2 linked regions of the Arabidopsis thaliana genome follow. The protein of the gene in region 1 interacts with the protein of each later gene in a pairwise test. Each region holds a gene or a part of one and is shown in the gene's direction. Other genes may lie near its edges.

The links.
Region 2: the proteins of AT5G18910 (region 1) and GAMMA CA2 interact in a two-hybrid assay, tested with the Arabidopsis thaliana proteins (one large-scale study listed by BioGRID).

Annotation. Positions count from the first base shown.
Region 1 is NC_003076.8:6,305,826-6,311,450, reverse strand, and holds AT5G18910 (Protein kinase superfamily protein), read left to right. Parts: upstream 1-1,872; 5' UTR 1,873-2,054; coding exon 2,055-2,125; intron 2,126-2,246; coding exon 2,247-2,335; intron 2,336-2,445; coding exon 2,446-2,868; intron 2,869-2,966; coding exon 2,967-3,218; intron 3,219-3,314; coding exon 3,315-3,469; intron 3,470-3,596; coding exon 3,597-3,676; intron 3,677-3,781; coding exon 3,782-3,917; intron 3,918-4,055; coding exon 4,056-4,205; intron 4,206-4,277; coding exon 4,278-4,457; 3' UTR 4,458-4,852; downstream 4,853-5,625. Other genes in the region: AT5G18920 (Cox19-like CHCH family protein), read right to left, coding at 1,036-1,131, 1,216-1,356; AT5G18900 (2-oxoglutarate (2OG) and Fe(II)-dependent oxygenase superfamily protein), read left to right, coding at 5,285-5,418, 5,515-5,572.
Region 2 is NC_003070.9:17,318,800-17,325,451, reverse strand, and holds GAMMA CA2 (gamma carbonic anhydrase 2), read left to right. Parts: upstream 1-1,967; 5' UTR 1,968-2,104; coding exon 2,105-2,219; intron 2,220-2,367; coding exon 2,368-2,511; intron 2,512-2,771; coding exon 2,772-2,897; intron 2,898-2,999; coding exon 3,000-3,151; intron 3,152-3,768; coding exon 3,769-4,068; 3' UTR 4,069-4,551; coding exon of another isoform or gene 4,552-5,034; 3' UTR 5,035-5,881; downstream 5,882-6,652. Other genes in the region: AT1G47265 (uncharacterized protein), read right to left, coding at 654-884; PAF2 (20S proteasome alpha subunit F2), read right to left, coding at 4,552-5,034, 5,882-6,232. UniProt on the Arabidopsis thaliana protein: Enzyme involved in the catabolism of H(2)CO(3) but that does not mediates the reversible hydration of carbon dioxide. Mediates complex I assembly in mitochondria and respiration. Binds HCO(3)-.

The DNA of each region.
Region 1 (5,625 bases):
TAACTTGAAACTGTGACCCTAAAAACTTGGATAATATTAAGGACTTGGCGGCTCATGCTCTTTTTTTAGGCAAATGCTTTTTTTTCTCCATGTGTGTGTTTGACATTTAACCATAAGAAGTCAAAGAATGAATAAATTTTAAAATCTATTACTACATACTAAAAAAATTAAAATCCAATGAATCTAAAACTCATAAGGCAAAAAAAGTAAGGTTACACTTTTTGTGGCTGACCAATTAAAAGTATTAATATGTGATTTACTTTTAATAATCGCGCATGTAAGTTTTCCCACCGCAACATATCAAAATCCAGTTTGCACGTGAGAATAATTGGCTAAAAAGTAAACCTTAGCCAAAAACATGACTTATCTCAGTTCATCCCAAGTAAATAAATCAAAAATCAAATCTTTTAACGAGCTTGTTTTGCTCTTCTTATATAGTTTCTGGAAGAGTGATGTACAAAGGTTCTTCGCAAAGGAGTCAAACGTTCAAGATCTCATTATAAAGCAGAGCCAAATTCTACCACGAAGAAAACAAATCAAACTGTCTCAAAACACCATCACTATTGTCTTATCCGAAATAAGTGTCAGAAAGAGAAGTCTTAAGAGTAAAGAGAAAGATTCTATGCAATGAACCAAAATCAAATAGCAACAAAATAAAACCAAGATTACATTGAATGAAAGCTTGTAAATTTTGCAATCCCCCCAACAAGAACACAATCACAAGACACCGTTTTATTAATCAATTTTGCAAGACGACAAAAATGTCATACTTATATGGTTCCTCTATAAGCAGTAACTAATCAAGTATTGGCTTTTCTTAATCTCTATCATTTCTTCATTCTCCTTTCATGACATTCCTTCAAAGCTTGAACATCTTTGTAACACATAACAAACAACAAACTCTTATCAACATTTTGTCCGAATCCATCAGTTCTTTTATCAATCAGCCAACAATTCCTCACACATATTAACAATAATCCCAGTTTCGTTCGATTAGGTACAAACCCTAAACCCCTGAGCTCTAAACTAAAACCCTCAGATTTCAGAATTTACAAATTGAGATAGAGATAGAGAGAGTGACGTACGTTTTTGGCAAGATTTCCAGTCCCTATTACTATCAACAAGACAATCCTACAAAATCGGAGACAAACAAAATCGAAATCAATGATTTAAGGAATTTGATTTGGGGAAATCAAAGAGATGAGAAACACAAACCTGTAAAGATAAATAGAGAGAAGAACACTCCTTGAGCTGTTTCACATTCTCGTCATCGTCGTCTGCATCCATTTGATGATTCGGCGGAGGAGGAGGAGAAGGTTGCGTCTCGGAATTGGGATTCTCCGTCACTTTCTCCATTTCACTGCGAAATTTAGTTTCTTCAGCAGAGAAGAAGAAGATTCAGAAATCGGAAAGTTATTTTATTCTTTTGGGCTTTTAAAGTTTTTTAACCTAAAGCCCAGGCCCGTTTAGTTGGTATAAGAAGAAGCTTTCAGTCTCATGCATAAGTGGTCAACATGTAGATAAGTCCAAGAGTAGAAGTTGAACAAAAGACAAAGATTGTTGTCTCAAATGACTTCAGCTCCACTAACCTTTGTCGGGTCACTGTGACACGTGGCGTTACCCACCAACGTGGGAGCTATCACAATCAATAGAGAATAAACTACCAAACAAACAATTTTTGTTTTCTTGAATATCAAAGAAAATGTCATTGTTTTTGTTGCAAAATGGTGATTTAAATTTTTGTTCCAATTTGACAACTAAAAAGACATTAGTCTGTTAGTATTCTAAATTTAGGATTTTAAAACATTTGATCAAATTATGGAGAATATTCTCTGGCGATTTTCTGTCTGAAATGCAAAAATGGATATTTCTTTCGTCTAAGATTAAGAAAGAGAGAAGAGGCGGATTTTCAGTTAATAACAAGAAGAGAAGATGAGGTGGTGTAAGAGAAAACCAATGATCATGGTTACTTTCTCTCTCTCTTTCCTTAGTCTTTGATCTCTTCTCTCTTTCTCTCTCTTTCCCTTTTTTGTCTCATTTCTTGTCTCCAATCCATGGAAGGCCTTCGAGACTCATCGTCACAAACTATCTCTTCCACGACGTCGTCTTCTTCGTCTCCGTCCTGGTAAATTTTCTTTCATCTTTTCTACAAGATATACTGTTTGTTTCAGAAACATCTACAAGATTTGTATATGATTATGTACCGTGTCTCACAAGTCATCTCATATGGAAATATACAAACTCAGCGATGTAGACGTTGACAATCGTGGAAAACAATTAACTCCTTCTACAAGACGATCTCGAGCCGGCTTCTCTGATTCTTTCTCTTCTCATGGTAATTTATTAAAAACTGCATCATCATTAATTAGGTTTTATAAAGATCTCATTGACTTGAGATTGTCCTTGTCCTTGTCCTTGGCATGAATTTCGTTTTCTGTGCAACAGATTTATCATCATTCTGTCGAGATGAAGAAGTAAAAACATTCTGCCCCATCAAATCGGAATCAGACGATGAATTATTAAGGAGCATAGAAGCCGAAACTTCATCTTCCGTGGTGAGCACGTCAGACTCATCAGAAACTCATCACCATCACCATCATCATCATTCGTCTGGAGGTCCCAACAACGGTCACTGGAGAAGAGGTTTCTTCCGTTTGCTTAAGAAAGGATCATCCGCAATGCCATTCAACACGTTCACACCTCTCAAAGGAGTTCCGAAACTGACCAGACGGAAGAGCAAACGCATAAGGGACAACATGGTTCCCGTTATACCTGCTCTTGACACTGATCACTTGTTCTATTTCAAACCCTCCTGGAGGAACTTCTCTCTCCGAGATATTCAGACCGCGACAAATGACTACAGCCGTGGTCCGGAAACCTCTAAAGAACCCTTGTTATACATTTTCAATAGATAAATACTATTTTATGCAGTGATGTAACATGAAAACATGTGGATATTATGGCAGAAAATCTGATCGGAGAAGGAGGATATGCGGAGGTGTATAAGGGACAAATGGCAGATGGGCAGATAGTAGCGATAAAGAAGTTGACTAGAGGTTCTGCAGAAGAGATGACGATGGATTATCTGTCCGAACTAGGGATCATTGTTCATGTAGATCATCCAAACATTGCTAAGCTTATTGGTTATTGTGTTGAAGGAGGAATGCATCTTGTTCTTGAGCTATCTCCTAATGGAAGCCTTGCTTCTTTGCTCTACGGTGATATATAATTCTCTTTTGTTTGATGTTTTCAATGTCATCTCAAACTATGATTTGGATCAAAAACCAAACAAATATCCTTGTACCATTTTGTAGAGGCGAAGGAGAAACTGAATTGGAGCATGAGATACAAAGTGGCGATGGGAACAGCAGAGGGACTCTACTATCTCCATGAAGGTTGTCAGAGAAGAATCATTCATAAAGACATTAAAGCTTCTAACATTCTTCTCACTCAGAACTTTGAGGCTCAGGTAATTATTACTAAGAAAAACCTAAGATCTTCATACCCTAGTTTATTGTCTTTTGAAGTTATTATTATGAAAAAAGATTTATTTTGAAGTAATTTATTGATTTTTTTCGAACAAATGTTGACTATAGATATCGGATTTCGGGCTAGCGAAATGGCTACCAGACCAATGGACTCACCATACTGTATCAAAAGTTGAAGGAACATTCGGGTTTGGAATCTCTCTCTTTGTTAAAGATCATACACACTGATTCACAAATATCATGTGTTTTATATATATCTATCTTACATAATCTCTTATGTGTTCATCGATCAGTTACCTTCCGCCAGAGTTTTTCATGCATGGGATAGTAGACGAGAAAACAGACGTATATGCTTATGGTGTCCTGCTTCTCGAGCTCATTACCGGTAGACAAGCCCTCGACAGCTCACAACATAGCATTGTCATGTGGGTATGTGATGTGGCTACCTCTTCAACCATAGCTAGATAGAATCCTTATCTCGTACTTTCTTCAAAATCCTAGAAGGTTTAAAACTAATTGATCTGTTTTTTTCATTGTGAAATCCCTAACATATCTATGTCTTTGTAGGCTAAGCCATTGATCAAAGAGAACAAGATCAAACAACTTGTTGATCCGATTCTGGAAGATGACTACGACGTAGAAGAGTTGGACCGTCTTGTCTTCATAGCTTCCTTGTGTATACATCAAACCTCCATGAACCGGCCTCAGATGAGCCAGGCAAGCATATCAAAATATTCAATTCCATCATCAAGTTACATATACAGGTGATTAATTTGGTCACATATACAGGTTGTGGAGATTCTGAGGGGAGACAAGTGCAGCTTAGATAAGCTAAGAGAGCGAGAAAACTCCAAACTCCAGAGGACTTACTCTGAAGAACTATTGGATAACGAAGAATACAACTCGACAAGATATTTAAACGATATTAATCGACACATGGAGACCGTTCTCGGAACATCTAAGGATTAATTCTGAAATGTCCTACTTGCTAAATGCAAGACAAACATTTCATTGAGTCCATATATTTGTTCACTATAGAGTTTGTATGACTGCTGAGGATTGGAGATGAATCCGATCAGGATTGGATATTAAGTTAGTAGAGAAAAGGACTGAAAAAGTTCAATATTGCCTTAACATATATTGTACCATGGTGTATGTATTTGATCATGATCATGACGTTGTGTTCTTTCCTTTTTCCCCATATTTGACTTAAAACTATCGTTTTGTTATTTTCACAGTATGAATTTTGTTATTCGTTTCGTATTCACCTACTATTTAGGGATAGACGCGGATCAGATATCCTGAATTTTTATGGTATTCGTAGACCGTTTTACTATATTTGTATCAACAATTATTCGATCCACTCTACTCCAAATAACAAAAAGTATATAAAAAAATCAAAATTCAACTCCAAAAATTACAATGTTTCATAAAACCTAAAAGAAAAAAAAATACAAACATATAATAAATTCTGCCATTTCAAAATTTCTCAGATAATCCTTTTTCAAATGTTTCCACTTTAAACAATTTCTGTAAAATTTTCTTAAAAGAGCTGCTAATTAAGAAGGAGCCGGTTCGGTTCGATTCGGTTCGGAGCCAAAGTTCTGAAAGAACCGAAACGCAAGCGACGTATGCGTTTTGTCGTTATATCGTTAGGTAGAGCTTAAAGTTGTCATCACCGTTGAACACTTTCCCGAGAAAAGCTCTCTCATCTTTTATTTTCCCGGAAAAAAATAATTAAACTTTTACTCTCTTCCGATCTCCTTTCCTTGTACATCTAGATCCAAGCGGTATCGATGGCTCGACGTGGATTATTGATTTCGTTCTTCGCTATCTTCTCCGTCCTGCTTCAATCTTCCACTTCTCTGATCAGTTCTTCTAGCGTCTTCGTCAATCCTTCCAAAGTCAAGCAGGTTTCATCGAAACCCAGGTTTCCTCAAAACCCCTAAAGTGATTTTGGGAAATTTCAAAACTTTGAATGTTAACAATTTTGAAAAATTCGTTTTTTTTTTTTACTTGTGTTCAGGGCGTTTGTGTATGAAGGGTTTCTCACGGAATTGGAATGTGATCATATGGTCTCCCTTGTGAGTTTTCAATTCATCTTCGGTTTTGAGCTTAAATTTGGAAACTTTATTTT
Region 2 (6,652 bases), on another chromosome or scaffold:
TCGATGTTCTCTTCAGCTCGCGACACATATATCGATTCCACCTCACAAATCACTCAAACCGAGCTCATCTCATGATGCATAAGTTGGGTTTACTTCGCAATCACTTGAACTAAGTCCTTCTCACGGCGTATTTGTCAGGTCACCTCGCAACTACTTAATCCAAATTCATATCCAACAGCATTACAAGAATATTAGTCTTCAAGCAAATAACCTTACTCAAAGAACTCAAGCTTATGTTGATACCGGATCGCGCACGACAAATCCATCTTACGCATCCAAGTTCCATCACTTTACAGAGCAAAGAATGTACATCTTGCATAAGAAAGGTGGTTAAATCTTGATATTAATTTGTGATTAAATTTATGAATTAATGGTCATGGTTTAAGGAGTAAACTTGCCATTCAAGTTTACGAATTAATTATGAGAGTTATTTTATGAGCTAGATATGTACCTAATGGCCAAATAAAGATACATAGGAGGAAGGAAAAGACTATAAAGAGAGGTGGAGACCCTAAGAAAAGAGACTCCATCTTTTTTTTTGTAAAATGGTTTTCAATGTTATAAATAAGGTCCAATGGACTATTTCCGGATTTAGGCTCATACATTTTCCCTTAGACTCAATCCACTTACATATAACCAGACTAAACCATCTATTACAAAACCGATCTAAACCGAAAGTTGAAAATCCTAATCTCATATCGTAAAACACGATCTGAGCCGCCGTCCAAGAATTGCAGAATCTCACCGGAACAGAAACCCTTTGGGGAGCCTAGACGAGATTCGTCGAACGGAGATGGTAATTCAGGATCCGTTGTCCTCCTGCCACCGTAGAGCAGTTTTGAGGAGGAAGAGGCGATCCGGGTTGCCATAGTCATGAATCTCATAGCTCAGTCGAGAGAGTTGACGGCAGTAGTGAGTAGATCTCAAGACCATCGACGGTGGTAAAGCCTCACCGAAGCGGAGTCGACCTCCCCCATCAAGCGGCGACCCAATGAAACCTCCAGAATCTTTAGACTTCCGACCTAACCGCCGTCAGCCCTTGTTCTTCACTGTGAAGTCTCATCCTTCCTCTCCGTGAAGCCACACCACCGATATAGCTCTTACCGACAGTGTCTCGCATAATCTTCTCCCCTCCACCAGGGCCAACTCAATATATTCTCTGTCACTGTACAAATTTTCAAATTTAGCCCTTTTATACTAAATATTTTGAGTTTGGCCCTTACATTTAGTTAAAATTTTATTATGGCCCTCAGATTTAGTCAAAATTATCTTTTTGACCTCAAATTTGATAAATTTTTTTATTTTACCCTTTAATTTTGATCAAATAATTTTTGGATCCTGTGCAATTGCTCCTCTTGCACTCCCCTAATGCCGCATTTGCCCTCCACTGCTCCCTTGATTTTGAATAGATTGAATTGCCGAGAAGATGTAGCGGATCACGGTTGAAGCACCATGTCCCAATGGGTTTCTTCGTCGCTGGAGTCAACGAAAAAACTTATTGACGGAACAAGAGATTGTGATTATAAGAAGAAAAAAATTTGAGAGAGAAATCGCCCACGCGTAAATATCACTTGCCCGACTTCTTTCTAGTATAACTCCAAGAAAAACACCCAAGAAACTCCATCTTCTACATTCTTGACCCCATTTTAGATACAAACAATGTTTTTTCCAATCCTTATACTAAAAACTATTTCTTTGCTTTATGCAATACTTCCAATATCCAATGCACAATATAAGCTAATATCTCTATTTTTATCTCTTTATTTTCTTTGCTAAATTATATTAATTATTTTACTCATTTTTGTGTTTGTCTCCTGAAAGCTTTGTTCCATCTCCTTACATTGCAAAACGAATCTATCCGGATTTTGTATTCACAATCTCTGTAAGTCCAACCAATAAATTTCGGTTTGGTTTAGCTTACCAGTTACCACTCCATACTCTAAAAATTTAGAGGTCAACAAAATAAACGAACTCACTCGAGTTAAAAAAAAAAATCCTCCCATCAATACGCCTCCATAAACCTCTCTCTATCTGGTGGAGCGACACCAAAAACAACAAAGCCTTCTCATTTTCACACTTTGGGTAATCGGAGAATCACAAAAAAATGGGAACCCTAGGACGAGCAATTTACACTGTGGGTAACTGGATTCGTGGAACTGGTCAAGCTCTTGATCGCGTTGGTTCTCTTCTTCAAGGAAGTCACCGTATCGAGGAACATCGTAAGCTTCCAGATCCTTCCACTTAATACTCTCTATTGAAACCCTAGATCCAATTCGTTATCTCTAATTTGTGTCTTCACCTTTGATTGGAGAAATTTGTGGCTTAGATTGAAAAAATTTGATTCGAGAAATTTGTGTTTGTTTTCAGTGTCGAGGCATCGGACGTTGATGAATGTGTTTGATAAATCACCATTGGTGGATAAAGATGTGTTTGTGGCTCCGAGTGCTTCTGTTATTGGTGATGTTCAGATCGGAAAAGGCTCGTCGATTTGGTATGGCTGTGTTCTTCGAGGTGAGGCTTTATTACTTCTAGAAAGTCTTAATGGCCTTTGGTTCGATAGAAGTACCAAATTTTGCAGCAGTATATTGTGCAAAGTAGTCATAGTTTAGTTTTAGGAAATGAAGTTCTCTTTACCTTCTAATAATCTTGTATCGCTGTTATACGTTACTGTCCTGATCATTGGACATAGATTTATTGTACTGTCGATAAAATGTGTCATGAAGTAGCTGTGAAACTTATTGTATGTTAATCTGGGTTTCTAACTTGTGCAGGTGATGTGAATAACATCAGTGTTGGATCTGGGACGAATATCCAAGATAATACGCTTGTACATGTTGCAAAGACCAACATAAGTGGCAAGGTTCTACCTACTCTGATTGGGGACAATGTAACAGTAGGTAAACCTTAAAAAGCGATTTATCAGTTTTGAAGTATCTGTTTTTATGTTGTGTTACACGATTGTTAGTTAAAGGTTTTGTTTGTAAAATGAAACGGAGCAGGTCACAGTGCTGTCATTCATGGGTGTACTGTTGAGGATGATGCTTTTGTTGGTATGGGAGCAACACTACTTGATGGTGTGGTGGTTGAGAAACATGCCATGGTTGCTGCTGGTTCTCTTGTGAAACAGAACACGCGAATCCCTTCTGGAGAGGTTTCTTTCTTTCCACTTTATCTTTTCTGGTTTACTGCTTACGGAGTTTGTGATAAGACTGGAACTGGAAACTGCTTTATTTCTCACTAAACTGAACGAGAAAATCCAAAGTATCAAGAACCAAAAATAGAACTCTAGCTAGGTTTACTTATCACGGACCCTGAAGCTCTACCAAGCCTAATAACGAACTGCTAATTAACCAAGTAATAGCAGCTGTAGTCTGCTGCATTTAGTCCTACGCTGACCTGTAGCTAAGGCTTGACCAGCTGAACTTCTTCAAGTAGATCCACTTTTGCTTTGCTTACAATTTAGTTGATACAGAATTAGTTAATGAAATGATATGCCTGTAAATTGTATTATATTTTGATCAAAAAGAAGAGTAAATAGTATTTATATATCGTCTAAATCTGAGAACCACCTTTGTTTCCGTTGCAATTCTACTTGTATATGAAACAAGGGTGAGTTGGGAGTAACAGAGGGTTCTTGTGTTTCCAATGTTTTATGAGGAATTAGACGGATTTCTTATATCGCTATGCTTTTGAACTACTTTCTTCAACCGTCAACCTGAGAATATATTTACAAGGACATATCTATAAGTTATCAGTTTCATGTGGCAGGTGTGGGGAGGAAATCCAGCAAAGTTCATGAGAAAGTTAACAGATGAAGAGATAGTATACATCTCACAGTCAGCAAAGAATTACATCAATCTCGCACAGATTCACGCCTCAGAGAATTCAAAGTCATTTGAGCAGATCGAGGTTGAGAGAGCGCTTAGGAAGAAGTATGCACGCAAGGACGAGGATTACGATTCAATGCTTGGGATTACCCGTGAAACTCCACCGGAGTTGATTCTTCCCGACAATGTCTTACCAGGTGGTAAACCCGTCGCCAAGGTTCCGTCTACTCAGTACTTCTAATTCCAATCTCAGGTTGTTTTTGTGTGTTGAAATCATTTCAAGACAGGATTGATTCTCTGGAAGGTCAAGAGAGATATTATTTTGGTTTTAACTTTTCTTCCGAGCAAGCAGGAGATTTATCATCCTTGCTCAATAATGTATGGTTGCATTATGAAGTCATTTCTTCGAGGAACAATTTGCAGAAAGAGAAACAAAGTTGGATTAATCTTTCATTCTTTCTCTCGCTGTTTCTCTCATTCAAAATGGTGTCTGTTTGATACACTCTCTAGGTTGGCGATTCGCCGATTATTATTATCATGTGACAGATTTGACTTAAGTAGGACTAAACATAAGCTAGTGGCACTCAATAACTCCTTGTTCCAAGCTGTTAAATAAACAAAGCCGAATAAAAACCACAATTGTACTTGGAAGTTGGAACATATCAAAGAGCTACACACAAGAAAATTGGTTAGAAAATCCAACTTTGAACTCATTCCCTCTTGCTCAAATTTCCATTGGTGCAACATCTTGATCACCTGAACCACCTTGTTCACCAGTTCCAGCAGCACCAGGAGCAGCTTCGGGTTCGGCCTCACCCTCACCAGCATCTTCCTCTTCCTCAGGAACCTTCTCAAACGTATCAATCACCTTTTGAATGCTTTCCTGGTCCAAGAAATGGAATGGTTCATCGACTCCTAGAACAGAAACAGTGCAGAGCGAGCTCTTCAGTGTTTCCCCTTGCAAAGTTTCCCTTATGGCCATAATAGCATCTTTTATCAGATCTTCTTTTGATGATTCTTGGAAGCTCTCGAATTTGCGCTCCAGATAGGTTTTCGCAGCTTGTGAACGAGACCCGATAGCGAATGCTTGATATTCAAAGTAGTTTCCGCTAGGGCAGTTGTAGTAGAGGTGAGCTCCTGACTCGTCCAATCCACCTACCAGCAAACCCACACCATAAGGCCGTTTCCATGATCGTTGGGTACATACCTGCTCAAAGATAATTTATGAAGATGTTTAATACAAGACAAACAAATGACTTAACATTTGAATGAAATCAGAGTGTTGTTCAAACTACAAGACTGATATCAATACGTTCTCAGAAATCAATTGAAAATGTAGATACAGCAGCTAACTTAATTTTTGACAGACATGAAAGTAAGTGGGACGTAGCAATCAAACCTTTTAAAAATTGTGAACACATCATCTAACTTGAGAACACTACGTTTAACACCAAAAGTAGTGAACATGTAGCACAAATTTCTATCACAACTGTAAACCAACATCTTACTGAAAATATACTTCATTAGGCAAGTAAATAAAGTGGCCAGGACATACTACAACTACAAGTAAGTAAACAAATGCAAAGTAATACAAGTCAAAACCACAAAACCAAAAAGAGATCAACAAAGACGTATATTTATTCTAGAATTGCAAGCAAAAACAACTCTATCAAGCAAAGAGAACAGACGATGACAACACAGAAACAACCAAACGACCAAAATCATCACATTCTTATACACTTCTATCGTCAAAGTGGGTATACAGGTTAACTCTTTCTAATCGGATTAAGCAACTAGCAACAGAACTGGATATGATTAACAACACAAGAATCTCTAATTCCCAATCACTAAGACTTGATCACAAACCAATATCACTACTTGCATAACAACACACACATTCTACAAATAAAATTGGCCACATTGCTAATAAAAACCTAAACTTTACTCCAATTACATAAAGCTTCAAACTTTCAGATACTCACACATCATAAAACTAAACCCTTTAGCAAATTCTAGGTCAAAATTCAAAAGTTAACCCAAAAATCTCAATTTACCTGAGCTTTATCAGCAAGATGAACAACAAGACGACCAACAGGAAGAGGAGACTCATAAGTAAAAGAGTGATTAATAGACTCAGATCTCATATATCGAGAGAGAACACGACCATCAGCAGTGAGACCAGCAATAGCAACACCAATATGATCATCGACTTTAAAGATCTTCCTTTGATGAGAAGAGAGCTCTGATTGTGCTTTGTTGACACAAGCGAGGACGACATGAGAGCGAGATCTGAGTCCTATTGCTGCGGAGCCTTGTTTCACAGCTTCCATGGCGTATTCGACTTGGAATAGTCGACCTGTGGGACTCCATGTTGTCACATCTGTGTCGTACTGGTTCCTGAACATCTTTCTTCTTCTTGTTCCTCTGTTCTTCAAAAGCTTTTCGTTTGCTTCAAGCTAGAGGAGGATGGTCTCTCTTATAGAGCTTAGAAGAAGAAAGTAAAGATTGTCAAAAAAAAGAGAAAGAAGACAGTAGAGTAAAATGGGCTTATGAAACTTAATGGGCTGGGTTTAATTATCCATTACTCTTTATTATTTTTTACACATTTAAAAGGATTATAATTTTATAAATAAATACTTAGCATTATATTATTTCTTTTTATAGTAATTAATTTAATTCATAATTTAACATTTGCAGTTTCAATTGGTTTTACATTATTTATTTACACATTTTTCACTACACTGATTATAAATTTACTATTCCCTCTGATCCTAAAACAATGATATTTTGGATTTTTCACAAATTAAAAAAAATAACTTTTATAT